Pelodiscus sinensis: one gene and its partners. The protein of the gene in region 3 interacts with the protein of the main gene of each other region in a biochemical or structural test. Links are inferred from orthologs where the notes say so. Each region holds a gene or a part of one and is shown on either strand. Other genes may lie near its edges. The genes, in order: CCAAT/enhancer-binding protein beta, UBTF, RB1 and CDK6.

Region 1 (6,843 bases), on a different chromosome or scaffold from region 3:
ATTTGGAGTTTTTATACAAATGCAGTCCGACTCTTACTACAGAGCAGTAAATAGTGACATTTTGGTAGGCAGAACTTCCTATGAACTCTTCACTCTTTGATCTGTTGGCATTATACAGTTGTGGTCTGTCCAACGCTGACAGCAGCTCTTTCTGGACTGTAGAAAGATATGGGAATGCAGAATTGGAGATCTTGGAACCACTGTAAATCAAGATAGAGCAAGTCTCTGAGTGAAAAGTTTCTGCAATGCTTTGGCATGGATCTGAGCTTGGGAAAACATGGATCTGAGCTTGGGAAACCAGGTGCTCCTGTGATGCTACAGTAGAGCTGTGAATCAGGGAGCAGAATCCAAGATAGGCTGGGAAAACCAGAGGCTGTGTCTACACTGGCCACTTATTCTGGAAAATCAGCCGCTGTTCCGGAATAATTTGCCAGCTGTCTACACTGGCCCCTTGAATTTCCGGAAAAGCACTGACGATCTACTGTAAAATCATCAGTGCTTTTCCAGAAAAACCATGCTTCTCCCGTTCGGGCAAAAGTCCTTTTCTGGAAAACTGTTCCAGAAAAGGGTCAGTGTAGATAGCACAGATTTCTTTTCCACAAAAAAGCCCCGATCGCGAAAATGACAATCGGGGCTTTTTTGCGGAAAAGCGCGTCTACATTAGCACGGACACTTTTCCAGAAAAAGTGCTTTTCCGGAAAAGCATCCTGCCAATGTAGACACGCTTTTCCCGGAAAGACTTATAATGGAAAACTGTTCCGTTTTAAGCATTTCCGGAAAAGGGTGCCAGTGTAGACGTAGCCAGAGTGATCTCTGTAAAACAGATCGGAATAGGCTGTGTTCTCTTTGTCTTTTTTCTTTTATATTCATTTTGTTTCACTCTTTCGCTGTTTGCATCCATCTTCTTCAAACAAAGCAGTGAGAACTTGTGTTTTATTGCATTAGAAATAGCTGGTTGGGAATTGGGGGTCATTCTTTCTTTCTTTCTTTCTTTCTTTCTTTCTTTCTTTCTTTCTTTCTTTCTTTCTTCTCTCAAAAATGACTTATTTTGAACAAAAAAAAAAAAAAAGAATAAAATTCAGGCCTTCCCCATCCCCACAACAAAAAATATTCTAAACAAGCAGACATTTACTTCAAAAAATGTCTTCTTGTCAGTAACCCAGTTTTCTTTCAAAAATGTTTTCAAAAACTTTTTTGGATGAGCCTTAATAAAAAGTGCTGCAACTTTCACTTTCATCTTGGAGAAAAAACCAGAGCTCAGCACCCTCTAATAGGAGCATCTACTTCTCAATACCTGCATAGAACAGCTTTCTAGAGCAAAAACTCCTGAAGAGCATGAAAACACAGAATGTGAATATAAATAACCATAAAAGCAGCCCTGGCTCACTGCAACTTACCAATATTTCCATTGTGTAGAGATGTTTGGATCTATACAGATATAGGCTCAAGTCACAACATTCAGATCCAGACCTGAATCCAGGATTCTTTGTCCAAGCTCGGCTCTACAACTAAGGCTAGGTCTAGACTACAGTCCTTTGTTGGAAAAAGCTACGCAATTTTTTTTCCGATCACTTTTCCGGAAGCGGCTTTTCTGCCATTTGGCCCAGTCCAGATGGGGCCAAATGGTAGAAAAGCCTCCTCTTTTGGTGGATCCCTTATCCCTTATAGAACGAGGTATTCAGGGTTCCCTGAAAGAGAGCATTTGCTCTTCTGCAAAAGAAGGTGGAAGAGCAAACACATTCCTCGGACGTGGCAGAGTTTTTCTGAGGTATCCCAGAAACCCCCCGCAGTGTAGACATACCCTAAATGTGCTTATTAGTAAATGTAATTCACCAAAAACTACTGCATAAAGACAGAAATATTGGAAGTCTACAAACCTTTTAGTGTACCTTTGCTATTGAAGTTGAAAGAAAGAAAGAAAGAAAGAAAGAAAGAAAGAAAGAAAGAAAGAAAGAAAGAAAGAAAGAAAGAAAGAAAGAAAGAAAGAAAGAAAGAAAGAAAGAAAGAAAGAAAGAAAGAAAGAAAGAAAGAAAGAAAGAAAATGGTTCATAGCATGATTTTTGAATTCTTCCTCTTTTCAAAGTCTGAGGTTTGAACATTCATGAACAGTTGACTGTTTGAATTGTATAATGCAATACCTGTTCCTCTGGCTTAACGTTGCAATATTTCCCACACCGCAGGATTGCTTCACATTATTCTATGAGGCAGTGTCATTTTCTCTGCAGTACTGGGTCTTCTTTACTGAAATGAAGGACACTCCTACTTCCTTTAATTATATGTTTTGTTTTAAATTGATGTCTTTTATTCTGAGCATGAATCACCAGCTTGTATACAGGTAAATGTGGGAGTAACAGGGAAAATGTAAGTTTGATTCCCAAAGTGGGTATCTTTAATTAAAATAGGCATAAAAATTTATTCTTACAAATTTACCATGGCCTCTCCAAATCAATGCTACTGTATACATTAATATATTAATAAATCATTGCATCCTGTCCCTTGACACAAATATATCTCACTTTCCCCCATTTATTTTAAATACAGTTCCTTAAATGTGGGAGTAACAGGGAAAATGCAAGTTTGATTCCCAAAGTGGGTGTCTTTAATTAAAATAGGCATAAAAATGTATTCTTACAAATTTACCATTGCCTCTCCAAGTCAATGCTACTTTATACATTAATATATTAATAAATCATTGCATCCTGTCCCTTGACACAAATATATCTCACTTTCCCCCGTTTATTTTAAAGACAGCTGCAAGAGCACAAACTCCATATCACTTGTGTACTCTGACAATTGCAACATACTACATAAGGCAAACACGCCAGGCCAAACATTAAGGCCGTCAGCCCTGCACACAGAGGTGATGGGGGAGTTTTGGATTTGCCTACCATTTCTAATTGCTGGTCTTCTTCTGAGGCAGTGCCTTACCCTGGTTTGCGCCCAATACCACATGCTTTTTACACCCACTGTGGCAAGCTAGTTCTGAATGTGTCTGTATGGGATAATTCTGCTTGCCAGCTCCATAAAATTCACAGAGCATTGAATTGGTATTAAGATCTGGCTTCTATTCCTGGCTCTACCTCTGATTTGCTAAGTTATCTTGGGCAAATCCCTTAACCTCTGTGCCTTAATTTCCCCGTATGTAAAATGGGGATACAGACACTCACCCACCTCAGTAAAACAGGTTGAGACCTACAGACGAAATCTACAGATATCATAAGCCTTAGATGCAATGGATCCAGCTCCTACTGGCCTTTGCTAGCCACATCTGGCCATTTGCTAGTCCCACAGCTGGACACCCAGTGGTTTGCATTGGGGAAGCAGGGGAAAGAGGCTGAAATCTGGGGAAGAAGGATGGGGGGGAAGGGAATCTGGTATCTGCTTTTCCCCCTCCTCTCTGAGGACATATTAGATGGGAGGAGAGGGGCAAAAGGGTTTAGTCCATATTGATACATGGGCAGATGCAACGTCCCCCTGTGTGAGCTACTGTGTCCATGTCGGAAGGTCCCATCAGGAGTGATTATAGTCCAGTGACATCGCCTGTAGATGTGACAGCAGCTGGCAAAAGTATAAGGCGGTTTTCCCTGTCTCTGGCCCAAATCTTCCCTCCCTTCCTTGAGGGTGAAAACGAGCCCCCTCGGCTGCGACGCCTGCCCTGCTTCCCCGGTGAATGACGAGGTCAGAGTCCCACACGCCAAGTGCCTCCTGCGGAGCGAGAGGCACTCGGTACAACTGTACAAAGTGTGCACCATGTGGCAGCCAGCCAGCCAGTGACGTCCCTGTTGCCATGGGATCCACCGCCCCTATAAATAACAGCAAAGGAACTTTCCTAAGTCAGAGACTTTAGGACTCGGACCTAGAACCAGATGGTCCGGAGAAAGAGAAGCAGCCGCCGCCGGATCTGAGCCAGCCCAGGTGGGCAGCACAGCCCAGAGACCGAGGCAGGATTTGGAGGCCCCCGCATCACCTTCGGCAGCTTGATCCCGCGGCTGGGGGGCCCCCTGCGCTGTCTCCTCCTCCCTGCACTCCCCTTTGCTTTCATGCAACGCCTGGTGGCCTGGGACCCAGCATGCCTCCCTATCCAGCCACCCGCCTTTAAATCCATGGAAGTAGCTAATTTCTACTACGAGGCGGACTGTCTGGCTGCGCTGAGCAAGCTGCACCCGCGGGCGGCAGGGGGCCGCTCCATGACCGAGCTCACCGTAGGGGACCACGAGAGAGCCATCGACTTCAGCCCTTACCTGGACCCCTTAGCAGCATCCCAGGCGCCGCCGCCGCAGCCTCCGCCTGCAGCAGCAGCAGGGGGCAACTTTGAGCCTCCCTGCAGCAGCGGCGCCAGCCAAGATTTCCTCTCCGACCTCTTCGCCGAGGACTATAAAGGCGGCGGCAAGAAGCCCGACTTCACCTACATCAGCCTGGCCAGGCACTGCCATCCGGGCGCCGGCCAGGCCCATAAGCCGGGCGGGCTGCTGCCCTGCTTCCCGTCCCAGATCGTGGAGACCAAAGTGGAGCCGGTCTTCGAGTCCCTGGACTCTTGCAAAGGGTCCCTGAAGGAAGAAGGGGGCGCCAGGCCGGGCGCAGGGGGCATGTCCTCCCCTTACGGCAGCACCATGCGCTCCTACCTCGGTTACCAGTCGGTGCCAAACGGCAGCAGCGGCAACCTGTCCACCTCGTCCTCTTCCAGCCCCCCCGGCACCCCCAACCCGTCCGATTCCTCCAAGTCCGGCGGCGGAGCGGGCTACGCCGGGCCGCTGGGCTCCAAGAACAAGAGCAAGAAGAGCGTGGACAAGCACAGCGAGGAGTACAAGCTTCGCCGGGAGCGGAACAACATCGCGGTGCGCAAGAGCCGGGACAAAGCCAAAATGCGCAACCTGGAGACGCAGCACAAAGTCTTGGAACTGACCGCCGAGAACGAGCGGCTGCAAAAGAAAGTGGAGCAGCTCTCCCGGGAGCTGAGCACCCTCAGGAACTTGTTCAAACAGCTGCCCGAGCCCCTGCTGGCCACGTCGGGCCACTGCTAGCCCCTGCGCTGGACACTGCTAGAGCCGCAGTGGTTGGGGTTGGAGGGGGAGAAACTGGGGAGGAAGGATGGGGGAGGGGGCGGTCTGGTAGCTGCTTTCCCCCCTCTATGAGGACAGATTGGACCGGGGCTGGGGAAGACACGGGGAGAGACTTAAAGGTTTGGTTTGTTGTTTTTTTGTCTTTTTTTTTTCTTTGCAATCCGGTGGAAGAAACTTCCGCCGCAGCCTGAGTGTTGGTCCTAGGAGGGGGACTCCCCTGGCGGGCGCCAGGGCCCTCCGCATCTTGTGGCGGAATGACAGTTGCCGATGGTAATTTTTTTGTAATGTTACAACCCCACCGAGGCACCCTTCCCCTTCCTCTGTCTGTGCAGAGTTTGTTGAATGTTCGTGTTATTTAAAACAGAGCGAGAGAAAAAGCAGAGAATGATGCAACCCTTTAAACATGGCTGGGAATGCTGCGTACACATGATGCAATCTCGTGTAACTGTCAGTCATGGATTGAGTAATCTGTTAAAGATGTTCCTGCGGTTTTTTTTATTATAAAGAATAATTCTATTTCTATACGAAAATACATATGTATATTTTGGGATCTATAGACATTCTTGCTACATTTGAAGCATTAATGAACAATTTTAATAAACTTTATGGCTAGGAAAAAAGAAAGAAAGGAAACTTGTTTTATTTTAAAGGCACTTTAACGCCAGAATGAAATCAGTTCAAATGCCAGCTAGATCTGGCTGTGTCAGGAATCATTTTGTTGGCCTTTTGACTCTCTCTGTGACTCAGCAAAAAAGAAAAAAAAATGAGAGAACCAGAGAAGACCAGATGTGGGAACCACAGCCAGTTCCCTCTTGCTGCCTCACTTAATTTCCTCTAACCCCTTGAGTTAAATTCTGCTTGGGTTTTTCTGAAATACTAATAACTCTCCCCATTCAAACCATGAAAAATGTTTGACAAAGTCTCTCCAAGCAAAGGACAAGATTAAAGCAGGGGAGAGGTTGGAGGAAAGAAAAAGAGAAGGAGAAAGCTTGAAATAAGGTGGGATTTTTCTTTAAAGCTCAAGTTTTTGTAGTCTCTCAGTTTCATGACTCAGTATTTCTGATGCTGGGGGTTTTACAGCAATGAACAGTGATAACATGTCATTTTTGTGTTGGATGGCTGTGAACTGGGGACCTCTCACATAACTAGGCTCAGTGAGAAATGTGTGGACAATGCTCCCTATAATTTCCTACTGAGCCTTCTTTTTAAAAACTGTTTCTAAAAAATGCTGCTGATACAGTTGAGTTCTTGAAAGGTGAGTGCGGTGGTGATGGTAGTGAATGGGTCAGGTGTGTGGTTTGGGTAAAAGGTTGGGTATAGGAGGATGTATGTATAGAGCCCTAAGGACTTTGTGACAAAGATAACAGAGGCTCTGCTAGCAGATGTGGGATTTGTCGAGGTCTGTGAGTTGCACATGTCTTGGCTCTCTGTAGTTTGCTTTTGTGTACCTGCCTGTAAAATATTATTTTACAGCCTAGAGCTGATTACGTGCTGGGAGTTGGATACATGTTCAGGTCTTATTCAGCATTTTCCAGCATACTAGACAGACTCTATGCACATCCATCTTCTAAATCCAGATGTCAAAAACTACCAGGAAAGAACTTTCTTAATCCTTCTATAGCTGTACTTTACAGTAGGATGCAAATGTTCTGTTTCCTTAATGGTAATGGATCTGAACTTGTTTTATGCTTTACTGTAAAGGATAGTGATTGGGAATGGGTGTGGAGCAGCCTTGAATTTGGTGTTTACGGATATTGATTTTACTCAAAAATATGTAGTATAA
Region 2 (7,320 bases), on a different chromosome or scaffold from region 3:
GGGGGTTACATTTATAATCGTTTCTGTAGGATTGTGTTCTGCTCCATGGAGGAGGACTTCCAGGTGCTCAGTACAACGGGGTAATTACTGTCAGCATCTTCACTAGGACCCTCAGGGTCCAGGGTCAGAGGAGGGACAAACCTGAGGCTTGGAATAGGAGAGAAGTTCATGGCCAGACTCCAGGCTGGGGTTGGTACCCAGGGACCAGGTCAGATTTCAGGCTCTGGGTCAGGAGGTAAAGTCAAAAGCCAGGCGTTCAAGACCAGAACAGCAGCTACAGACAAACCACATGACCTGGATGCTTCTGGGAACGCCTCCCAGGTTTAAATAGGTCCGGGAGCCAATCAGGAGCCATGGGGCTGCTGCCTGTCAAACCCCGGAGGCGGGACTTCCCATAGTTTGTATGCGCACTGGACCCCAGAATGTTGGGACCTGCCTTGTGGCGTGTACACAGCTTGAAGTAGCAGAGACGTTCATGGCCAGACTCCAGGCTGGGGTCGGTACCCAGAAGCCCCACTCCTTGGGGAGCCCAAACTGGATTTTCCAGTGGCAGCCACCGAGAAAGGTGTTTCGGTCTGAAGAGCTGGGCTTGAGCTGATGGAGGGATTCCCTTTTGATGCAGCAGACAGGCAAGAAGGGTTGGAAAGTCTTTGGCTTGCTAGGATCCCATAAGACTCATGCCAACCTGGGCTAAGGCTACAGCCTCTAGGACCGGGGTGGGGGACCTAAGGCCCCCCGCCGAGGCTCAAGGCTTCTCCCCAGATTGGGGAGCATATGCTGGGCTCCAGCCCTGCCTCCACAGGACTGGAGCGCCCACAAAATCTACTAGCCTGGGCCCCTCTAAGCTCTGGTGTGTGAGGGGAATGTGGGGAGGGTCTTTCTCTTTCTCAGGTGAAGGCCACATCTTTGGTTTTTGTTTTCTTTTGTTTTGCTTCTCACTTGTGCGTGTGGCCTCTGAACCAAAAAAGTTTCCTAACTCGTCTAGGAACTTGTCTTGTTTGGTGCTTATCCTCTCTGTGCCTTTTGTTTTTGTTTTTTGTCCTTACAATAAGTGTACTCTGCTGGGACACTGCTGTGGGGTCCCTACTAAAAGCACAGGCATTGTCTTCCAAGGCTACGTCTACACTGCCAGATTTTGCGGCACAAAATATGTGAATGAGGGACTCATTTCCATGAATTGCAATCTCATTTGCGTATTTTCTGCTGATCCGTTTTTGCGCTAGGGCTTTTTGCACAAAAACAAGCAGTGTGGTTGTTTCCTTTTTGCGCAAAAACCCCTTTTTCCGCAAGATCCTTATGCCTCAAAAAAGGAGGTATACCAATCTTGCGGAAAAAGGGGTTTTTGCACAAAAAGGGAAAACACTTTGTTTTTGTGCAAAAACGCTTAGCGCAAAAATGGATCGGCAGAAATTATGCAAATGAGATCATGACTCATGCAAATGAGTCCCTCATTAGTATATTTTCTGCCGCAAAAACTGGCAGTGTAGACATAGCCCAAAGGAACAATGTTTTGGTATGGACAAGCCCTCAGACTTTACTCCTAGGCTGTGTCTACACTGGCAAGTTTTTCTGGAAAATCAGCCGCTTTTCCGGAAAAACTTGCCAGCTGTCTACACTGGCCGCTTGAATTTCCGAAAAAGCACTGACGATTTCATGTAAAATCATCAGTGCTTTTCCAGAAAAACTATGCTGCTCCCGTTCGGGCAAAAGTCTTTTTCCGGAAAACTGTTCCGGAAAAGGGCCAGTGTAGACAGCACAGTAGTGTTTTCCGATATTCCACGCTTAGCCTCATTTGCATATTGCTCGCACAAGAAGCCACGAGTGTAGACATAGCCTAAAAGTGCAGAGCGTGGTAACCAAAATGATTAGCATCTGAACAACATCTGCATGAGGAGACATTGAAAAGCCTGGGATTTTTCAGTTTGGGAAAAGAGATGACGCGAGGGAAATGTGGTAGAGGTCTATAAAACCTTGACTGGTGGGACAAAAGTGAAGAGGGAAGTGGTATTTACTCCTTCCCATGACACAAGAACCGGGAGTCACCCAATAAAATGTAATAGGCAGCAGGTTTAAAACAAACAAAGGGAAGTACTTCTTCACACAGTCGACCTGTGGAACTCATTGCCGCAGGTTGTGAAGGGCAAAACAATACAAGTTCAAAAAAGAAATAGATACAGCAATGGATATTGGTGTCGATGGTCAGGGATGCAACACTAGGATCAGAGCATCCCCAGCTTTTGAATGCCAAATGCTGGGAGTAGATGCCAGGGGCTGGAAATGTTGATGGTTGCCTGTTCTCTTCATTCCCTCAGAAGCAACTGGCCTTAGCCTCTGTCAGAAGACAGGGTCCTGGACTAGATGGAATATTGGTCTGTGGTTGTTTTTATGTTCTAATATTACATGTGCACAAATAGATGCTTTATCAGTAGTAGCAAGTAGTAGCAATCTTTACCAGTCAGCCTACCACACTAGCTGGTTGCAAAAGATACTGCGATAAATATTTATGTTCACAATCACACCTCAGGGCACCCATGAACATTGGGGCCTGTTGTGCTGTGCACAATATAAGCACATAGGGTACATCTACACTGCGGAGCTATTTCAGGATACCCGAAGTATCCTGAAATAGCTCTTCTGTGTCTATTGAAGCAGCCAGTTATTTTGAAATAGATTTCGAAATAACAGGCGGTTTATTCCAACATCCCAGTTACCCTCATTCCGCGAGGGTTAAGGGGAATTTTGGAATAGCGAGCTATTTCAAAATTTGGCACTGTGTAGACAGCACCAAATTGCAAAATAAGCTATTTTGAAATAGCATCAAAATAAGCTATGCAATTTGCATAGCGCGAATTGTGTAGCTTACTTTGAGCTAAGGGTGCTGTGTAGATGCACCCATACTGAGCTCTTCAGAGTAAGCATTCTCTCTATCTCAATAGACATGACCAGGTAAGATTGGGAGAGGAAATAGAGGCACAAGAATGTAACGTGCCCCAAAGCCCGCGTAGTCGGGAAAGCGATTCCAAACATTTTTGAAAAAAGTTTAGACACTGACAAAATGTTCAGTTTCGACAACTTCTCAATGCAAAGGTTCCATTTTGTTTCCAAACAATTTCTCAGTGAGAAATGTTGAGTCATAGTTAAAAAAAATTAAAAGCTAAAAAAGATCTAAATTGAAACCAAATGTTTTAATTTACTTGATCCAATTTTTTTTTTCAGATTATTTTCGTTTAAGGACATTTGAGCTTTTTGACCTTTCCTACCTATTTGTAGGAATTTTTTTTAAGGTTCCAAACCTACCATGGAACGGGAAGATCACCTTCAGCCCAGCATTAGGATCATCTATATGCCCACAAAAACAACACAGCAGAATTATTGCGTGTGCACACAGCTTGTATCCAGAATGAAAGGGGTAGGCCTTCACCCTCCTTAACATTTTTGACTCATCTTATGTGGAAAAGACAAGAGGTACATTTTTAAGGTTTTCACAGAGAAGGATCACTTTGAAAAGCTACTAGCCCCTAGGTGAAACAGGGGTATCTGTTTAAGACACCTCAGTGACAGGACAGAGTTTTTAGAGCAGGAAGTGAACAAGGCTGAAATCCATGTAGAATTGTAGAATTTTATCCACCCCCCCATGTTAACAAAGATAAGACTTTTATTCCAAATTCCTTAGTGTAGACAAGGCCTAAAGATACTGTTTATATTTTGGTTCCTTCCCCAGACCTGAAGAGCTGTGTGTAACTCAAAAGCATGTACTTTAAACCAACAGATCTAATAAAAGATATTACCTCACTCATGTTGTCTCTGGCTTAGTACTCTAGCTCCCACTTCATTACCAGCATGTTTAAACTAATCTGCATTAATCTGTGGTAACAAAACCATGTATACACTCAGCAGTGCTGTCTGACAACCCCTTTACATTTCTCCATATATAAAAAAATATCCCTGGTGCCTGATACATATCTAATGCAACAAGGCAGGCAAGCATTTGCACACAGTGTTATGGGAATCCCTGCATTGACAGCCAAAGCCAAACCATGCAGCACCCTCCTGGTCTCACATGTATAGGCCTTAGAGCAGGTCCTCCCACTCTTCCCCCCCAAGAGAGCTCATAACACTTAATTGCTTTTTTTTTTTTTTTTGGTCTGTAGAAGCCGCTTGCTTATTGGGATTGCCATTAATTTGACAGGCAGATCCCAGACAGGGGATTGGCTAGCAGCAGATGACGCCCATAACAACAAAGGTGGAGTTGGAAAAATTAGATTAAAAAAAATTGAGGGGGGGGGGAGGAAATGGAAAAACTCTCCCTTCACCCAGCCCCCTCCGGCTTTGAAATATCCAAGAGTGTCAATTTCACGGTATCGTTAACAAATCCAGCGGTTCACGCAGTCCGGGAGGAAAGTGTGAATTTCACTCTCGACCTGTTTGTGCATTTCCTGGTGCAAGAGACACACAACAAAACTCCCCATTTTTTTCCCCGTCTCCTTCTTCCCCGAGAGCCTGTTTACAAGGCAGCCACTTGCAGTGTAGTTCAGGTTCCTTCTTTTGCGTTGGTGCAAATGTCTGTCCCCGCTCTCGGAACTTGACAAAGAAAATCTGAATTTTATTTTTGTGCATAGGTGGAACTTTAAAAAAAAACTTATTTTTTTTCGTGCTATTCGAGGTGGGTTGTAGGAAATCGACCATGTGAATTTTTGGTGCAAACGTCAGAAGAGGATTGTTGCAAATGTAAGCTTTTTTTTTTTCCTCCTTCTCTTTCCCTGTCTCTCCCTCCTCCTCCTCCTCTTCTCTTCTTTTGGCTACAGTGTTGCAAAAGCAAAGAGCAATAAACACGCACAGAGAGAGAGCGAGAGAGTCAGAGAGAGACAGACACACAATCCCGTAAGAGCCAGAAGAGAGTGAAAAGAGACGAGACCGATTTCTCTGACAATTCCGTTTAGGGAGCAGATGGAAAAGTGGAGACTTGTGAAGGGCTGTGAGGTTGGCTAAGGATCCAGGAGCGAAAAGAGCCCGGCTGATTGGAAGAAAAAAGCAGAGAGATGGAGGCGGGGGAAGTGCAATCTCTCTGCGGGGACTGGAGCGAGTCCACGCCCGGGGCCAGCGCTGCAGAGCTGGCTAGCATTCAACCAGCGCTCCCCAGCTAAAGCACCCAAAAAAAGCCGTCCCCAAGCGCCTTCTCCAGCCTGGCTGGTTTGCAGGTAGGTGCATTTCGAAAAAAAGACCCGAGACCTCCAGCAGTAAACGCGCCCGATGCAGCCCCCTGTTGCAAGGGAGGGTGGGTGGGAGAAGGATCAGGGGGAGGGGGGAGAAGGCACGATCCGAGGCTACGCTGGCTGCACCGGGCTGCTTTGCTGCAGCAGGAGCGCATGTGGAGCTCGCCATTAGCCGACGCTCTGGTTCGCCATCTGGGGCTGGAGGAGGCGCTTTGTTTCCTCCACAGGCTCCGGTGGTGGTTGGCTGCAGCAGCTGCTGCTGCTTCCCCCCGGTTGCAGACTCGGCGGCCGCCCGGCTTACTCGGTGAGGGGAAGGCGCTCGGGGGAGCAGGCAGCGGGGATCGGGGGGCTTTTTTGGGGGGTAGCGCGGGGAGATTTCGGGGCGGGCGGCGCGGGGTTGGATTTTCCACGCGCTCGCAGCCCGGGCAAGGCCCCGCGGCTCGCCAGGCAGGAAGCGGCGGCTCCGGGAGCCTCGGCCCGCCGGGGATAGGCGCGTACAAAGCGGCTCCCGAGCTGCTGCAGAACCGGACCCCCCGGAGCCGCGGCGGCAGGGAAGGGGGCGCAGCCGCCGCCGCGCGGAAGGGGGGACTGCACGAGGTAGCAGCGTGGCCCCGGCCGGGCAGCCGCGGCGGGATTTCGGGGGTGGGCTCCCGGGGCCGGGCGGTTGTCCCCCCCACCCCCCCCATCCACCCACCCCGTTCCCCTCCGGAGCTGGGGCGGTCGCCGTCGGGCGGGTGCGTGCCCAGGCTGGCTCCCCTCCCCGGCGGCCGCGGGGCTCCGGCCCCCCGCTGGGCTGGGTGGTTCTGGGCCGGGCCGCGCTCCCCGGGGGTCGGTGCGGGGAGAGGACGCGCTGCCCTCGCCCGGCTCTGCGCGCTGCGGCGGCCCCGACGCCCCCCGCCGCCGCCTCCGCCCCTTCCCCCCGCGGCTCCGGCGAGGCTGCGGCTGCCGCGGCGGCGAGTCCTGCCCCCTCCCCCTGCCCTGGAGGTGGGTCCGGCGGGCGGCTTCCGCGGCGCGCTGGCTGCAGCCGGGCTGGGCGGCGGCGGGGCGGGCGGAGCCGGCCAGTGTCTGCCCGACGGGCCCGGTAACCGGGCGGCCGGGGAGGGTGGCGAGGTGCGGGGGCCCCGGAGGGCCCGAGCCTCCGGGGGGCCGCGCGGCGCCGGGCGCCCCCGGGGTCTGCCCGCCGGGGCGAGGCGGGGGCCGGCGCGGTCCGCGCGGCGCCGGGCGGGCGGGCGGGGGAGTCGCCGCGGCGCCCGGCGGAGGAGGCCGCCTGCTCTCCCCGGAGGGGGTGGGGGAGGGCGGCGCAGCGGCAGCTGCTGGCGCGTCGGTCCCGCCCGGCTGCCGCTGCCTGGTGGAAGAGGAGGAGACTGGCGCTGGCCTGAGCTGCGTTTGGGCAGGGGCTGCGCAGGGCACGTGGGGATCCCTCCCCCCGCCGTCCGGGCCTGCCCCTCCCCCCGCCCGGGGATCTGCCCCCCCCGCCATCCGGGCCTGCCCCTCCCCCCGCCCGGGGATCTGCCCCCCCCCGCCATCCGGGCCTGCTCCTCCCCCCGCCCGGGGATCTGCCCCCCCCCCGCCATCCGGGCCTGCTCCTCCCCCCGCCCGGGGATCTGCCCCCCCCCCGCCATCCGGGCCTGCCCCTCCCCCCGCCCGGGGATCTGCCCCCCCCCCCCGCCATCCGGGCCTGCTCCTCCCCCCGCCCGGGGATCTGCCCCCCCCCCGCCATCCGGGCCTGCTCCTCCCCCCGCCCGGGGATCTGCCCCCCCCCCCGCCATCCGGGCCTGCCCCTCCCCCCGCCCGGGGATCTGCCCCCCCCTGCCATCCGGGCCTGCTCCTCCCCCCGCCCGGGGATCTGCCCCCCCCTGCCATCCGGTCCTGCCCCCCCCCCCGCCCGGGGATCTGCCCCCCCCCCCGCCCGGGGATCTGCCCCCCCCCTGCCATCCGGGCCTGCTCCTCCCCCTGCCCGGGGATCTGCCCCCCCCCCCCCCGCCATCCGGGCCTGCCCCTCCCCCCGTCTGGGGATCTGCCCCCCCCTGCCATCCGAGCCTGCCCCTCCCTCTCTCGGAGATCTGCCCCCCCCCCCCCCCGCCATCCGAGCCTGCCCCTCCCTCTC
Region 3 (7,344 bases):
TTGACATGGAGAACAAATATTTAATAATGGGCTCCTGAGTATAGTGGAGAATGTTTAACACAAGCCAATGGCTGCATGGGTAGTAAGTGAACCTTGGGTTGGAGAGTCAAGCCTCCAGCCTTGCTTCTTTTGCTCAAGCCCTCTACCCAATAGCAGTCAAGCCCTCGCCCCACCACAGGGCAGGCCTCCAGCCCGCCATGTGAACCCTCCCCTGGTCCTAGAGCAGGGGGAAGACAGGTGGCATGCAATCACAGCTTCTGCGTGGCTGGAGCTGGGGGCAGCTCCAGAGCAGCAATGAAGCAGGGGTGCTGTGGAGGCCAAGTGTGGGCAGGGCCATGCCTCAGTCTTGGACGGCAATGCCTTCCCCTGCTTCTTGTACCCACTTCTTATGAATGAATTTTTTTAGTTTCAACTTCCAGCCAACCTGGAAATAAGGTGTACATTTTTAACACTGGAAAAATGTACCAAGTATTGTCAGTGATGGAGATTGCTCAACAATGTTTACATAAGATATATACGGTAATAGGAATTATTTTGGGGATGACTTATAAGAGAGGTCAGACTAGATGATCACAATCATTTCTTCTGGTCTTAAAAATCTATTAATTCAGTTATCTAAAGAAGACATTCAAAGAGTATTCAATTAAATCTGTCCTTTAACTCACCAATTTCAATACTTATTAACTGTATTATGGTAGTATCTACAGGTCCTAACTAAGATTGGATCCTCATAGTGCATTGTTTCATAAACATATTAAGAGTCAGTGCTTTCTAGAACATATCATTACCTAAATTAGACAGAGAAAAGTGTTGGGAGAAAATATTATCTGATTTTATAAATGGAGAACTGAAGCAGGGGAAATTAAATGACTTTCTCTGTGTCTCACAGAAAGCCTTTGGCAGAGACAACAATGTATCCCAGCTATTTGAGATCTAATCCAGTGTTTAGCCATATGGTCATCTGTCCCTCCTTCAGCCTAGGTTTAAATCTGGTAACTAAAATGCAGAAGTGTATCACTAATTAATTTCTCATGTACTATATATATTTATATGGACTAAAAAAAACTCAGTTAAAATTACAAAAGCAAGCATTGGACAGTTAAGAAATAATACAGTAAAACTCCAATAGTCAGGCACCCGATTGTCCAGCACTCCCGATAGTCCGGCATCAAAATGGCAAGCGCTTCTGATGGAACCGGAACTGCTCAGGTCAGCTGCTCTTACCTGGGTCACAGCAGGGAGCTGAAGTGTTTTTCTAAGAAGAAGGGGAGGGGAATTGGATTACTTATGGCATCCTGGCCAGCTTCTGGAAAAGCTGGCCCCTTAGCACATGTGCTGGCTGTATCTGACCAATCGTAAGGTTGGGGTGGGGGAGTGGGATCGGGTTATAGCAGGGAGCAGAAGTGTTCTGCTAAGGGGAGGAGGATCGGGTTACTCATGGTGTCCCAGCCAGATGATTTGGGGGGGGAGGGGAGGTAGGGAGATTGGGTTGGGAGTATGCAGTACCTCCTGATACTCCGGCATATCCGATAATCTGGCACCACCTAAATCCCAAAGGTGCCGGATTATTGGAAGTCAACTGTAGAATTAAAGCTGCCCATGCAATTTGATTTGGCCCCCTTCTGCATATGCATTATGAAACAATCCTTTAATTATGTGATCAGGTACCCCTGTTTTCAACAGGAACCCTGCTTTAGCAATACCCAAGATACAAGATTAACATTATTTTAATGTGCGTGTGTATATGTAATTTCCTAGATCTTTTAAAGAAGAAACTAAAATAAAAAACATTCTTTTATATGAAATCATACCAGCTCCCCCTATAGATCATCAGCTGGACTGGAATCTTTAGCTCTACAACACAGACCTTTATCCCTTAATTGATAGTGTGGCTCCAGGCCAGCATACAGCAGCCATACCTACAGAGCGAGAACAAGGTTGGGTTAAAACCAACCTTTGCATACATTTTAAAAAAAAAACAACCTACCATCCTGCACTGTTTGAAGGATGGTTTACAGAATCTAGTCCTTTATGTGCAGTTAGAATTTTCTTTAATACTGAAGTTACTTGAACACATTCTAGATGGAGCTGGTAGCACTACCCACAGTTAAGGTTGCCTAAGAACTTCCTTGTAAGACCCAATTTTCAGTTGCTGTTAATGTTACTAAACCTTACTTGTTCAGGTTGAAATTTTTCAGGTGTCTGCCTCAGACAGGGGTATCGTTCAGGGAACCAGGAGAGGGCACGTACACCTCACACAAGGGGTGGGATGGTCCTGGGGCCCAGTCTCTGGGCATCCAGGGGAGTTAGCAGGGGAGGGCATGATGCCAGTAGCAGGGATCCAATCCCCCTGCATTCACCAGCAGTGGTGGGGGCAGGGAAGCGGAGTTATGCAGCTTTAGCTTGCTCTGCTTCCCACTGCTGAAAGTGAGGGTATGCCGCCCCTTCTCCAAGCAACATGCTGGGACAGCAGAACAAGCCGGGATAGTGTTGCTTCACTCCCCCCACTCCCAGCCACTGGGGGTGTGTGTGGGGGGGGGGCTGGACACCAGCTGCCAGCACCCTGGCCCTGCTTGTCCCCTGGGTTGCATTAGTTGGGGGAAAAGGCAGTGCAGAGCAAGGGCAAGGAATAGGAGGACATGGAAATTCACAAAGGTACCTGGGTGCCTTATAAATATATTTGTTTCTTTTCCCCTCTGCTTGTTTACTTTAAAAATAACATGAATGTAAAAATTGGTCTCCTCTGGATCTGCTACTGCTAGAGGACTTTTTAGGCTCCCAGCAGAGTGTACTGTGACCTCTACCTATGCCTCACTTGAAGAGCTCTTGGTCTTGAACTTTGATCAAAGACATCACTTCTCCCAAGTGTTCACTAACCTCTGGAGTTTCAAACTCCAGGCACCTCCATGTGTGTGTAACTCTGTAACCTGGACAGGCGGAACCAAACCGGGGATTGCTGTAGTTTAGCGCATGAGCTTCTAGTGCAGAGCTGGGGAATCTAAGGCCCAAGGGTGGGATGCAGACCATGGCTTGCCTGGATCGGGCCTTTGAGACTCATAGCTCCCCCAGCATTGGGGAGTCCATTGTGGCACTCCAGCCTCTCTGCTGCCCCACAGTGGAGCTGGAGCATACAAAATCTACTCACCTGGGCCTCCCTAGGCTCTGGTGTGTGAGGGGAACGTGGGGAGTGTCTTTCTTCTTCTCAGTTTGGGGACCAGTCAATGAGAGTTTGCCCCTTTTTGTTTTCTTTTTGTGTGTGCCCACCCTCTGATTTTTTTCCTTTGGGTCAGCAGCCCCTGACCCCAAAAAAGGTTCCCCACCCCTTCTCTACTGCGTGAGCTAAAACCCAGCTGGCTCTCAGGTAGGGTTGCCAGATGGTTTCCACAAAAATACCAGACACACTTGAAATTACATCAAAATTAACATTACATCTTATTTAGAAACTATGTCTACACTGGGAGCTTCTTGCGCAAGAACTCTTCCAGAAGAGAGAGTCTACACTGCCATGTGCTTTTGCGCAAGAGCATCCATGCCAGTGTAGACGCTCTATTGTGCAAGAAAGCTCTGATGGCCATTTTAACCATAGGGCTTTCTTGCGCAAGACATTCATGTTGCCTGTCTACACCGGCCTCTTGTGCAAGAACAGCTGCGCAAAAGGGCTTCTTCCCCAGCGGGAGTGTCAGAGTTCTGGCGCAAGAAGCCCTGATTTCCTACATTAGACCATCAGTTTACTTGCGATCACACGGCCAGTGTAGACAGGCAGCAAGTTTTTGTGCGAGATCGCACCAGTGTAGACCCAGCCCCAGACTTTCATATTTTCTGAATTTGTTTTTTAAACAGACGGCCCAAATACTGGACTCTCCCGTTCAAAACCGGACACCTGGCAACCCTACAGGAAGGCTGCAGAGCAAACTAATTCTCCCTGTAAGTGGTCGGACAGGACAGCTCAGCCCACAGGTGCGTGGGTTACAACGCCACTTGGCTCCTCCCTCCCTTCCCGCTCGCCCCCGCTCCCAGGCAGACGGAGCTGAACCGTCTATAGCTTCTAGGAACGTAACTGGCAAAATAAACTGTTGACAACAACAAACCAGGTCCGCTGAGCCCCGCCCCTTCGGCACCACCAGCAACAGCAGCCGGGAGAGCCCCCGCCCCGACAGTCATCAGCTCTTCTATTGGCTAAGGGAAGTGGGTGACTTGATTGGCCGAAGGGCTTGCGCTCAAGCCTCCGTTGCCAAGACTCCGAGTTTCTCTTCCGGGTTCTTAGCCTCATTCTGTGCGCAGGCTCCACCCCCTTTGAATACGCTCCCTGTCCCTTTCACCCCTCTCTGAAGCGAGTTGTGGGCTGGGAAGTGACGCGTACGCTCCGCCCGGTGGGCGGGGCGGACGTGACGTGTTTTCCCGCGGTTTGAGTGGTCGCTGTTGGGAGCCGGTTTGTCCGTTTCTCGTCTCCCCTCTGCGGTGCACGTTTAAACTTCGGACCCAACAGTTGCGGCTCCGCGCGCCCTTGCGCGCGCCCGACCGACATGCCGCCCAAGCCCCCCCGGAAGGGGGGAGCCGCCGCCAAGGGAGGCAGTACCCCGCCACCTCCGCCTGCCGCTGCCGCCAGGTGAGAGTCGCCAGCCGCTTCCTCCAGCCCGGGCTCTAGCCCCCGCGGCACCGCTTTTCTGCTGCTCCGGGAGCGTCCCGGGTGAGGGCAGCTCTGCTCTGGCGAACGCGGAAGCCCTCGCCGCTTGGTTGCGCATCCCTGTGCGGGGTGGCTGGGAGGCTGCCTGCCCGGCTTGGGGGGGGATGGCTGGTACGGTACTGGGCGCTGCTGAAGACGGGTCCGTAGGTCCCTGGTGCTCGCGTGGGCAGAGGTTGCTTTGGCCGGAAAAACAGCCCGTTGGTGTCCGCCCAATCGGCGGTGCCCGCTGGGCGAAAGGCTCCCTTAGCCTCGCTGGTGCTGGGGCCTGTCAGCTGTGGCCAACTGCACACTCACCGCGGTGTGAGATGTAACAGCGAAGACCTGGCTCTGACTGACGAGAGGCTCGAGCAGAGGTTAAGCATTTTATGCTGATGGAACCGTAGGATTGGCCTGTTAAGATTCAGGCAGTAGAAATGTGAAAGGTAATGCAGGGTCCTGCCTGGGTTCCTGATTGCTTCCAGCTCTTTGGCTCCCAAGCTTTCCAAGGTCTGCTCTAGTGGGCTCACCTTTAAAGGACAAAAATGTGCTGCTTTATCTGCTACAGATAGATGACATCCGATGTGCATGCATTCAGCATTTCAGGATTGTATGAGTTTTAGATTAGAAATTCCAGTGTAAAACCAATTTCTTTGGTTCCCTGCTAGTCACTGACCTTCCTTCAATCCATTCCTGGTTCTTGGGGTCATAAGTAGAGACCTGTACAACTGAATATCTCCTTTATAGCCATTGACGTTTGTGGATCAGATGTGGATGCAGATGCTCAGTAAGATGGGTTTTCTCCAGAGAAATGTCACATTCTAGCTAATGTTTTATACTTTATAATCATATGTGATACATTTTCATTTAAATGAACCTGATAGTTAATCATCCATTTCACTCTCTTTTAGGCTTGAGTTTGGAGAAACTGGCTTTATTGCACTGTGTGACACACTAAGAGTATCAGACATTGTGAGAACAAATGCTTGGAAGATGTATGAAAAAATGTCCCCTACTGATGGAACTTTAGTGAGTACTTGGTAGAGTTAATGCTTACAGTGACTTGATTTAAAATACTGAGCTCTGGATCCGTGCTTAGCCTAACATGTTGCCTTAGCCAAGAAGCAAATTGGTAAAAATTGCAAGTTATTTTAAAATGGAAATGCTACAGTGGTATCATTCTGATGCAGGTTTATATCAAGGTCAAAAAGTACAAAGGTTGCTGTGTACACACATCTGTGTAGATTAACTTGCATAACCTCACCTTCACTAAATATGCCAATTAAAAAAACCCCTTTAGTTCACACTTACTCTAAATGGTAGTTAAACCAGCACTATGTGACTAATCACATCCAGACCACATGTTATAGCTGTTCCCCACTCTGGCACTCCAAGTGCGGAAGATGAGGGCCTGCACAAGACTATATATACCTTGCCTCTGTAGCCGTGGTCACTAACCCATCAATTGTGAGGCATTTGGGGCCTCCCCATTTTCCCCCACCCTCAAGAAGCCCCACTGTCCATCTCCAGTGACCCTGCAGGAAGCCGGTGCTACCTCCATTGTGGATAGGAGTCCTGCAGCTGCGTGCCACTTCTGGGGTTTCAGGAAGTGTGCTGGCTGCACCCCCTCCCCCAAACAGCTAGTGCGGTACCAGACCCAGGTCTGTGGCATGCTGGGGACTTCCTGCGGGGGGCTAAGGGGGCGGAGGAGTCCCTGGAGGAGGGTGTATGCTGGAATGAGCTCCCCCTGCAGTGGGTGGGGGAGGCGGGAGGATGTAAAAGTCTCTAGAGCAGGCGAGTGCTGGGATGAGCTTCCCCTGCAAGAGGGAGGGGGTAGGAGTCCCTGGAGGGAGGCAGAGTGCTGGGACGTGCTTTCCCTGCGAAGGGGAGGGGTCCTTGGAGGAGGCGAGTGCCAGGGACTCCTTGTTGCCTGCCACCACCAACACCCTGTCCCCTGCTGCAGCACCCACTGACAGCCTGCTACCTGTCCCATCAGCCACTGGTGCCCTGCCTTAGCACCCTGTCCCCTGCTTCAGCCCCCACTGTCACCCTGTCCCCGTCTCTAGCATCCTTCCCCAATACCATGTCCTCAGCTCCCACCAGCACTGTTGGGGCCACATTAGTGAGGTTGGGGGGTTTTGGAGAAGGTTTGTGTGTGGTGGTGTGTGTGTTTTTTTTTTTTTTTTTTTTTTTTTGCATCTCACTTGTGTGGCCCCAACTGACTTTTCTGTGGATCAGTGACCCCCTGACTCAAAACAGGTTCCCCATCCTTCTCGTACCCAAATCCCTCATTCCCACCTCAGAGACTGCAGCTCCTGTCTCGACCCAGTGAATACGGCTAGACTGCAGGAGTTTTTTTCCGAGATACCAGAGGTATCCCAGAAAAACTCTTCTGCATCCAGAACATGTTTGTGCTTCTGCTTTTTTTTAGCCGAAGAGCAAATATGCTCTTTCAGCAACCCCTATATTCCCTGTTCCAAGAGGAATAAGGGGGCTTCTGAAAGAGGGTCTTTTTCCTGACATTTGGCCCAGTCTAGAGAGGCCAAATGTTGAAAACCTCTTCCTACAGAAAAATCAAGGGGGGGAGGGAGGGAGGGAAAGGCGGCAGTGTAGCCATACCTTGAGAGAGTATAAAGGCCAGGGGTAGTAAGTGATGGAGAGGAGGAGAACAAAGAGGACAGGGC
Region 4 (7,201 bases), on a different chromosome or scaffold from region 3:
TGCTTTATGTCTACACTTCATTTAAAAGTAGCTTTTAAATTGTTTGTTATTTGTTATACAACTTCCCACACAAATGTATAACGCAGTTACTATTAAATTAAGAATTTATTATGTGAGTTCAACATTATCTGTGATAAAGTACTGAGTTAGGGGATATCTGCATATATAATAATTTTAAACAGTAGGTGTTTTATTTACCAAACCTCTTTACACTTGCAAAAGGTTATGTTGCTCATGATTTTACAATTTGTGCTCATGTATTATAAAATCTGACTACCAAAAGATGCTGCAAATAAACATGATCTGTTGTACCACATCACTTGATATGGGGCTATTCTGGCAAAATAATAGTTTCTCAGCTATGTAAGGGGTTTTCTAAGTACTAATGCCTAACTACATGTTTAAAAACCATATCATATTAGTTAAAATAGAAGATGCAGACTAAACAAAACTAAACCAGTATGAAACGGTTTAAACAGAGAACCTTATTCTCCAAAACCCTCTATTCAAATGTGTACTTTTGAAGTGCAAGTTTCACTCTGATTTGAATGTGGACTTCTTGTAACACCAAGCTCTGGAATCCCCAATAAAATTTTAGCTGTTCCCTGAACCAGTTAAAACACCAAACAAGCCAATGTAGCTTTCTTTCTGAGAGTCTTAAACTATTCATAGCACTTCTATGGTATTGCATGATGCCAGATTATTCAAATAAACTGCTGTAAGAGCATATTAATTCCAGTAATTATTTGTCACCTATTGTCACATCATCAGCTTTTTCATTGCTTCCAGCAAAACCTTAGAGACCTCATTTATGAATGTGTTTTGTAGTCCTTAAAGCAGCACATATGATTTTGAAGTCTTAGTTTTAAGGTGATTTAATTATATTTTAATGTATATTGATTATCAATAAAATAAAAGAAAATTGCCCCCACTGACATATCTTTCCATATAAGTTGTTTTTCAGAAATAGGGTTTCACAAATAAAATATTCATGGATTAAAAGAAAAGTAAGATGTGGAGAAAGTTCTCTTTTTTTCTCTTTCCTTCCTTTTTAGGAGCACCCCACGAACTAATTTTTCAGTACAACAAAAACTTTGGTAATAATTTGAGTAGACTTAGTAACTACTCTTTGAATTTGTTTCTTAGCAACAATATTTAATGAACTTTCACTACACCAGTGCCCAAAAATGGATGCAGATGTGTTTGTAATATAAATTAATGAAGAGATTTAAAACTAAAAAAGGAATATGAAATGTATTGTTATCTGGATTATAAAGCTTCCTGATTTTGAGAGACGAACAATACATTTTTAAATATTTGAAATCAGAAACACTGAAATGTAAAATGTCTCATGAAAAAGGAAAAGCAGATATTTTAGTAATATTTTCAAAAGCAAAAAATTAAACAGGATTATTTTTATTTCTGGAAATATATGCTGTTTTGCTGGTTCGTAATTTTTCCACAAAGCATGTTATATGAAATTACTTTATAACTTTATATCTATTAACGATTTAAACCGTCAAATAATTTTGCAAATTTGGACAAGTAGTTGCTTTTTGTGCTGCAATTTGTTTTGCAATATTGTCCATTTTTACTTGACTATTTATATCAAAATATATTTTGAAATTCTTCCTGAAATCACTTAGTTTTTAGGCTCATGAAATCTATTTAACCTCACTTTAGAGATGTGTTTGTATCATGGGAAGACTTCACAGCAGGATTCAAGGTAACTCAAGCAGCTGGCCTTATAGGTGGAAAGTTATACACACACACAATTAAAAAGTACCCCATAGTACTTTCAAAATGCTCTCAAACATTCCTCAAAATCCTATAAAACCAAGTATAATATAGCAAATTCATAATTGTATAGTATGATATAGAGGGTTTATTGGCATCTATTTAGAAGAATGAGTAACATATATTATTCCTGGCTTCCCCACTCATTAGTATTGGACCATCATAAATTCATGCAGGCAAAACATGTATACTAAACAGAGCAACCAAATATATTCTCTATTAAGTATCTTTGTAGAGAAAGCTTTGAGGATGGGTTTTGTGATGTGCAAAACTTAGTAAGGTAAAATGTTAAAATTGCAAATTTGAACACAAAACTTGCATTGAAAATGGAAAACATAAGGGCTTAAAGTTATCCCACACTGCATGTGCTGAATATGAAGTTGTATATGTAACTGATTCAATGCCTCTCACAGGCAGTCTTTATCAATAAGATCCCAAGAAAAACCCAGCTGGAATTTAAAGCTACCTTTCCCATGTGGAATCCACTAAGTAAGACAAGAAGCAAATACTGCTGCCTGTCCATCCTCAAAAGTGAATACTGTTACAATCAGAGATGTTGATTATGCCCTATGTATATGAATCTGGTCCAAAGTTTTGAAGTTGGAAAGGAAAACAAAAATATTAGCGTGCAAAAACTTGAAATATTAAAAATATGGAAACAATAAGCCAAGGCAATGGGCATGCAGATGTGATGAGATATCAATGTTCATGTCTAGAATTATTTTTAGAAAAAGTATTAATATGCATGTATTTGAATTGTATTCAGATTATCTTATTTATATATGCTAAAGTTTTGACATTTTTAACTAACTTTTTGGGTATATGTAGTTCTACCAATTTTTGTCACTTGCTTTAGCAAGCAATCTTCACTTTAATTTAACAAAAACATTTGGGAATTTCCAGTTTATTAATTTAATACACTACAGTAAGAACACAAATTTGGTTCCTGTAAAACTTGCAATGTATGCATGGACTTCTGCAAACTCTAGTGCACAGCACATAAAACTTTATTTGCAGAAAAGTACCAGTTATTTGGCACAAAATTCCATTTCTCCTCCCAAATGAAATCAGGGGTGTTATGTGCATTTTTTTTCTCAGTAGCTTCAGTCAGAGTGAGGCTTCTAAATGTTCAGAAACAAGGATGGAACCTTGAAATTTATTTGCCCTCGTTTTTGGAATGAGTGGTAGAACCAGCTCCATCGAGCCTGATTTCAGCTGACAGCTGAGAGGACATGTGAAGTTCGTTTAAAAAAAATAATTGTGTGAATGTCTTTCTGTACTGAAGTATTTTAATTATATAATATTATGTACACAAAACCATATGTGCTGAGATATTTTCAGGACATAAAATATATTAATGCATAGCAGTGTGTTCAATGTCAATAACTTCATCACAGGATGACATCTGCACTATCTCCATGAACTGAATGATAGTTGTACCGTTGTCTTTCCAGCTAGCCCATCCTCCATCTCCACACAAAAAAAAAAAAAAAAAAAGTGAGCAATCTTGGGTTCCAACTGGTTTAAGCGCCACATGAACTGATTCTCATTAGTAACTGAATTCCATAATTGTCCTTGAGGTTCTGTCAAGAATTTGGTGGAATGGATCAGCTGGGAGGGGAATGAAGATCAAGAATCCCAGATGTGTTTCCCAATCCTGAGAGAGTAGTTTGGCATCTGTTTTCTGCATTCTTGTGCAGCAAATTCCAATATTTGTAGGAATCGGCTTTATACAAAGTGCTCCCGGCAGCACTAAGCGTTCATTTCCCCCTCTCCACTGTAAGCTCTTTGGGGGCAGGGACTGCTCTTTGTTTTTGTCTTGTCAAGGTCAAACACATTGTGATTGCTTAGCGAAATAATAATAAAGCCCGGGCCATGCTTCATTTAGTAATATTTATTATTGGGTGTCCGTACCGCTGTTGCCTATGGGGCCCTTTGAGGGGCTCCAGCAACATAAATAATTATTATTGTGCTTATAAAGCACCTAGCAGAACAGTACCCCAGTTATGACCGGGGGTCCTTTGGCGCTGCCTCAGAGCAAATAAGAATCCTCCGAAGGTTTTTGCTCCCTAATGATGTCTCTCGCTTTCCCCCCCGGGGTGCATGCCTCTGGCAGTTGCGCTAGCGGCGACCCTTGCGGTATGTGGCTGCCTTTGGCAGAGGCACATGAAGGATTTCATTGAGTGTGAAGACAGAGAGCAGAGACAGAAAGCAGAAGGAGGCGGCTGCAGCCTTTGTAGTCGGGGAGGAATGCGGAAATGTTAAAGCACTATGTCAAACTTTTTTGAAACGGGGTCAAGTCACATTCAGCCAGCGTGGGAAAGCAAGGGGAAAAAAAGTTGAGGGGGGGGGGGGGGGCTTGCGAGCTGTGCTGCCGCCGCTGTTCTCAGAGAGAGCAGGAGCCGAGCGAGGCTACAGAGAGAAGCAGCGGCAGAAGGCGGCGTGGAGGGCTGGTTTCCGAACCCCGCACACGGGGGAGCCCTGCAGGACTTTGATCCGCTGCAGCCTGGCAAACGCGGGACTTTGAGTCACGCTTTTTTTTTTTTTTTTAATTTTTTTTTTTCCAAGCGGGAGGGGAGGAGGGAGGGTGGCGGGCCGAGGCTGATCTGAATTAAAGCTCCCTGGGCAGGAAGGTGCTGCAGGAGGATGCGAGGGGAAGGCAGCAGCAGTAGAGCCGAGGAGGCGCAGTTGCTACCTGTGTGGCCCGGGGTGCTACAGCAGAGACCTGCTGGAAGCATCATGTGAATATTTATTACCCGGTTCGGGTCTTGGCTCGCGGGAAGCGAATGGGAGGTTTGCCTCCAGGAAGGTGACCCCCCCCTCCTCCCCCAGCGGGAGATTATCTGGGGCTCGTGCGGCGATCGGAGCAGCGTGGAGCGGACCAGGTAATTTGGAAGTGGCCATGTGCTTCCTCTAGTCTAGTGTTACTGCCGAGTGCTCCGCAGGCCCCCTTCCCCGCTGGGTGGCTTGCGGCGAAGGGGGGCTTCTCTGCCTCAGGCGGCGTGATTGTGAATCTGGGGCTTTGTGGGGGGCCGGCCCCCCAAGATGTTCATCCCTGGCGGGAGGGGTGTAATTGCTGCCGCCCCCCCCCCTTCCTCCCCCCCCCTTCCTCGCCTGTGTGCGTTCTTAGTAGGGGATGGGGGCAGGGAACCGCCGTGCATGTTCCCTGGGCACGAGGCTGGGGGGGCTTCACGCCTGTTTTCGGGTGTTTCCGTGGGTGGCTCCCCCACGCTTCTTGTGGGGACAGTCCCCCTGTGCCGCCGCCGCCGCATGCATCCGCATGCATCCCTATTGGGCTGGTCGGGGGGAGGGGGCTCTCTGCACGCCTTCTCCCTCGGGGGTGCTTTTGTCCGTCCTCCGGCCCCATCCCGCAGCGTCCTCGCTGGGGAATTCGTGCGAGGGGCTTGCCCGGGCTCGCAGTCCTAAAACGTATGTTTCCAGAGGGTGATTCTCGGCATTCAGGGCTGGTGGGGGGCTGGTTGCGGGATTCCCCCGCGCGCTGTCCGGGGGGGGTTGATGGTGTGCCCCGCGGGCTGTCTTAACGGGGAGACTGGTTGGGGGTTCCCCCGCGGGTTGTCCTGTTGGGGGCATTGGCTAAGGGGTGCCCCGCGGGCTGTCCTGATGGGGGGATTGGCTGGGGGTGCCCCGCGGGCTGTCCTGGTGGGGGGATTGGCTGGGGGTGCCCCGCGGGCTGTCCTGGTGGGGGGATTGGCTGGGGGTGCCCCGCGGGCTGTCCCGGTGGGGGGATTGGCTGGGGGTGCCCCGCGGGCTGTCCCGGTGGGGGGATTGGCTGGGGGTGCCCCGCGGGCTGTCTCGGTGGGGGGATTGGCTGGGGGTGCCCCGCGGGCTGTCCCGGTGGGGGGATTGGCTGGGGGTGCCCCGCGGGCTGTCCCGGTGGGGGGATTGGCTGGGGGTGCCCCGCGGGCTGTCTCGGTTGGGGATTGGCTGGGGGTGCCCCGCGGGCTGTCCTGGTGGGAGGGCTGGGTGGGGGCGTGCCCCGCGGGCTGTCTGGGGTGTCCGTAGGGGGATTCCCCCCGCGGGCAGTCCGGGGGTGGGCCGGGGGCTGCTCCTCCGGGGCACGGATTCTGCCTGGAGCAGCAGTTGCCGAGGCGAAGGGCCCCGCGGCGCAGCAGGAACAGCTCGGGCCCCGGCGCTTGGAGCCGGAGCCGCACTGCGAGGCCAGGCCCGGCCCCCCGACCTCACACGCGCGCGCCGTGGGAGGCTCGGAGCAGCCGCTCCGCCCGCGGCACGCAGCGGCCTGGCCGCGCGGCACCTTCCTGCCTTCGGCGGGTCAGGCAGCTGCTGCTCCGGAGCAGGGGTGAGCCCCTCCGCGGGGGCATTTCACCTGCTAGCCCCTCCCCGCACCCCTCCCCCTTCACTATCTTGCTAGCCCCTCCCCTGCACACCTCCCCATCACTAACCTGTTAGTCCCTCCCCCCTCCCTCCCCATCAGTAACCGGCTAGCCCCTTCCCTGACCTCCTCCCCACATCGCTAACCTCTCCCCTGCACTCTTCCCCAGACCCTACCACTAACCTGCTAGCCCCCGCCTACACTTCTTCCCATCCCCTCCCCTGCAGTCCTCCTCACTCCCACCACTAACCTGCTAGCCCCTCCCCTACACTCCTTGCCCTCTTCCCTGTACTGTTCCCCAGACCCCACCACTAACCTGCTAGCCCCACTTCTGCACTCCTCCCTCCTCCCCTGCTCTCCTCTCCATCACTAATCTGTTACCCCCACTCCTGGACTCCTCTTGACCCACCATTAGTGACTTGCTACCTCCTCACCTGCAGTTCTCCCCACCCCCATCACTGACCTGCTACTCCTGGACTCTTCTCAGACCCCCATGACCTGCTACCCCCTTACCTAGTCCCCTTCCGTTATTGACCTGCTAACCCTCCTGGGATTCTCACTTCCCTCCCCCCACCCTCCATATCATTGAGCTCCTACCCCCACACCTGGGGATCTACCCACTCCCATCAGTGACCTTCTCCCTTCTTCTCTGGACTCTTCCCTCTAGCCATCTCCAACACTGAACTGCTGCTCCCTTCCCTGGGACTCTCATCTCCTCTGCTATGACTCAGCCCATCCTCATCCTGCTACCCTCTTCTATAGGTCTCTGCTCAGCCAACCCACATCTCCGACATATTGTCCCCCCATTCCCAACACCGCACTGGTACCTCCTGCCTTGGGACTATGTCCCATTCCCCCATTCCAAACGCTGAGCGAGTACCACCCTTACTTGGCATTTACTTGCTACTCCTCCTCTCCCTTTGTACCAACCCTGTAACCATATAGTCCTTTTCATGCCTTGCAATCCTATAGCATTCCACTTGCTCCCATTTTCTGCATCATATTGCATCCTTCAAACATCCATCTCATCAAATAATATATGTCAGTCTGTTT

The links.
Region 1: the proteins of RB1 (region 3) and CCAAT/enhancer-binding protein beta form a complex in vitro, tested with the Homo sapiens proteins (2 studies listed by BioGRID, with this or other methods). The link is inferred for Pelodiscus sinensis from reciprocal best matches to the Homo sapiens genes RB1 and CEBPB.
Region 2: the proteins of RB1 (region 3) and UBTF form a complex in vitro, tested with the Homo sapiens proteins (2 studies listed by BioGRID). The link is inferred for Pelodiscus sinensis from reciprocal best matches to the Homo sapiens genes RB1 and UBTF.
Region 4: of the proteins of RB1 (region 3) and CDK6, one has a biochemical effect on the other in vitro, tested with the Homo sapiens proteins (9 studies listed by BioGRID and IntAct). The link is inferred for Pelodiscus sinensis from reciprocal best matches to the Homo sapiens genes RB1 and CDK6.

The regions. Positions count from the first base shown.
Region 1 is NC_134728.1:19,311,953-19,318,795, reverse strand, and holds the start of CCAAT/enhancer-binding protein beta, read left to right. Parts: upstream 1-3,839; 5' UTR 3,840-4,040; coding exon 4,041-5,021; 3' UTR 5,022-6,059; intron 6,060-6,843. UniProt on the Homo sapiens protein: Important transcription factor regulating the expression of genes involved in immune and inflammatory responses. Also plays a significant role in adipogenesis, as well as in the gluconeogenic pathway, liver regeneration, and hematopoiesis.
Region 2 is NC_134739.1:7,330,242-7,337,561, forward strand, and holds the start of UBTF (nucleolar transcription factor 1), read left to right. Parts: upstream 1-4,311; 5' UTR 4,312-4,728; intron 4,729-4,755; exon of another isoform or gene 4,756-4,940; 5' UTR 4,941-5,198; intron 5,199-5,338; exon of another isoform or gene 5,339-5,517; intron 5,518-7,320. UniProt on the Homo sapiens protein: Recognizes the ribosomal RNA gene promoter and activates transcription mediated by RNA polymerase I (Pol I) through cooperative interactions with the transcription factor SL1/TIF-IB complex.
Region 3 is NC_134711.1:288,849,396-288,856,739, forward strand, and holds the start of RB1 (retinoblastoma-associated protein), read left to right. Parts: upstream 1-4,325; 5' UTR 4,326-4,523; coding exon 4,524-4,606; intron 4,607-5,571; coding exon 5,572-5,689; intron 5,690-7,344. UniProt on the Homo sapiens protein: Tumor suppressor that is a key regulator of the G1/S transition of the cell cycle. The hypophosphorylated form binds transcription regulators of the E2F family, preventing transcription of E2F-responsive genes.
Region 4 is NC_134712.1:213,392,782-213,399,982, forward strand, and holds the start of CDK6 (cyclin-dependent kinase 6), read left to right. Parts: upstream 1-4,183; 5' UTR 4,184-4,682; intron 4,683-5,076; exon of another isoform or gene 5,077-5,226; intron 5,227-5,980; exon of another isoform or gene 5,981-6,115; intron 6,116-7,201. UniProt on the Homo sapiens protein: Serine/threonine-protein kinase involved in the control of the cell cycle and differentiation; promotes G1/S transition. Phosphorylates pRB/RB1 and NPM1.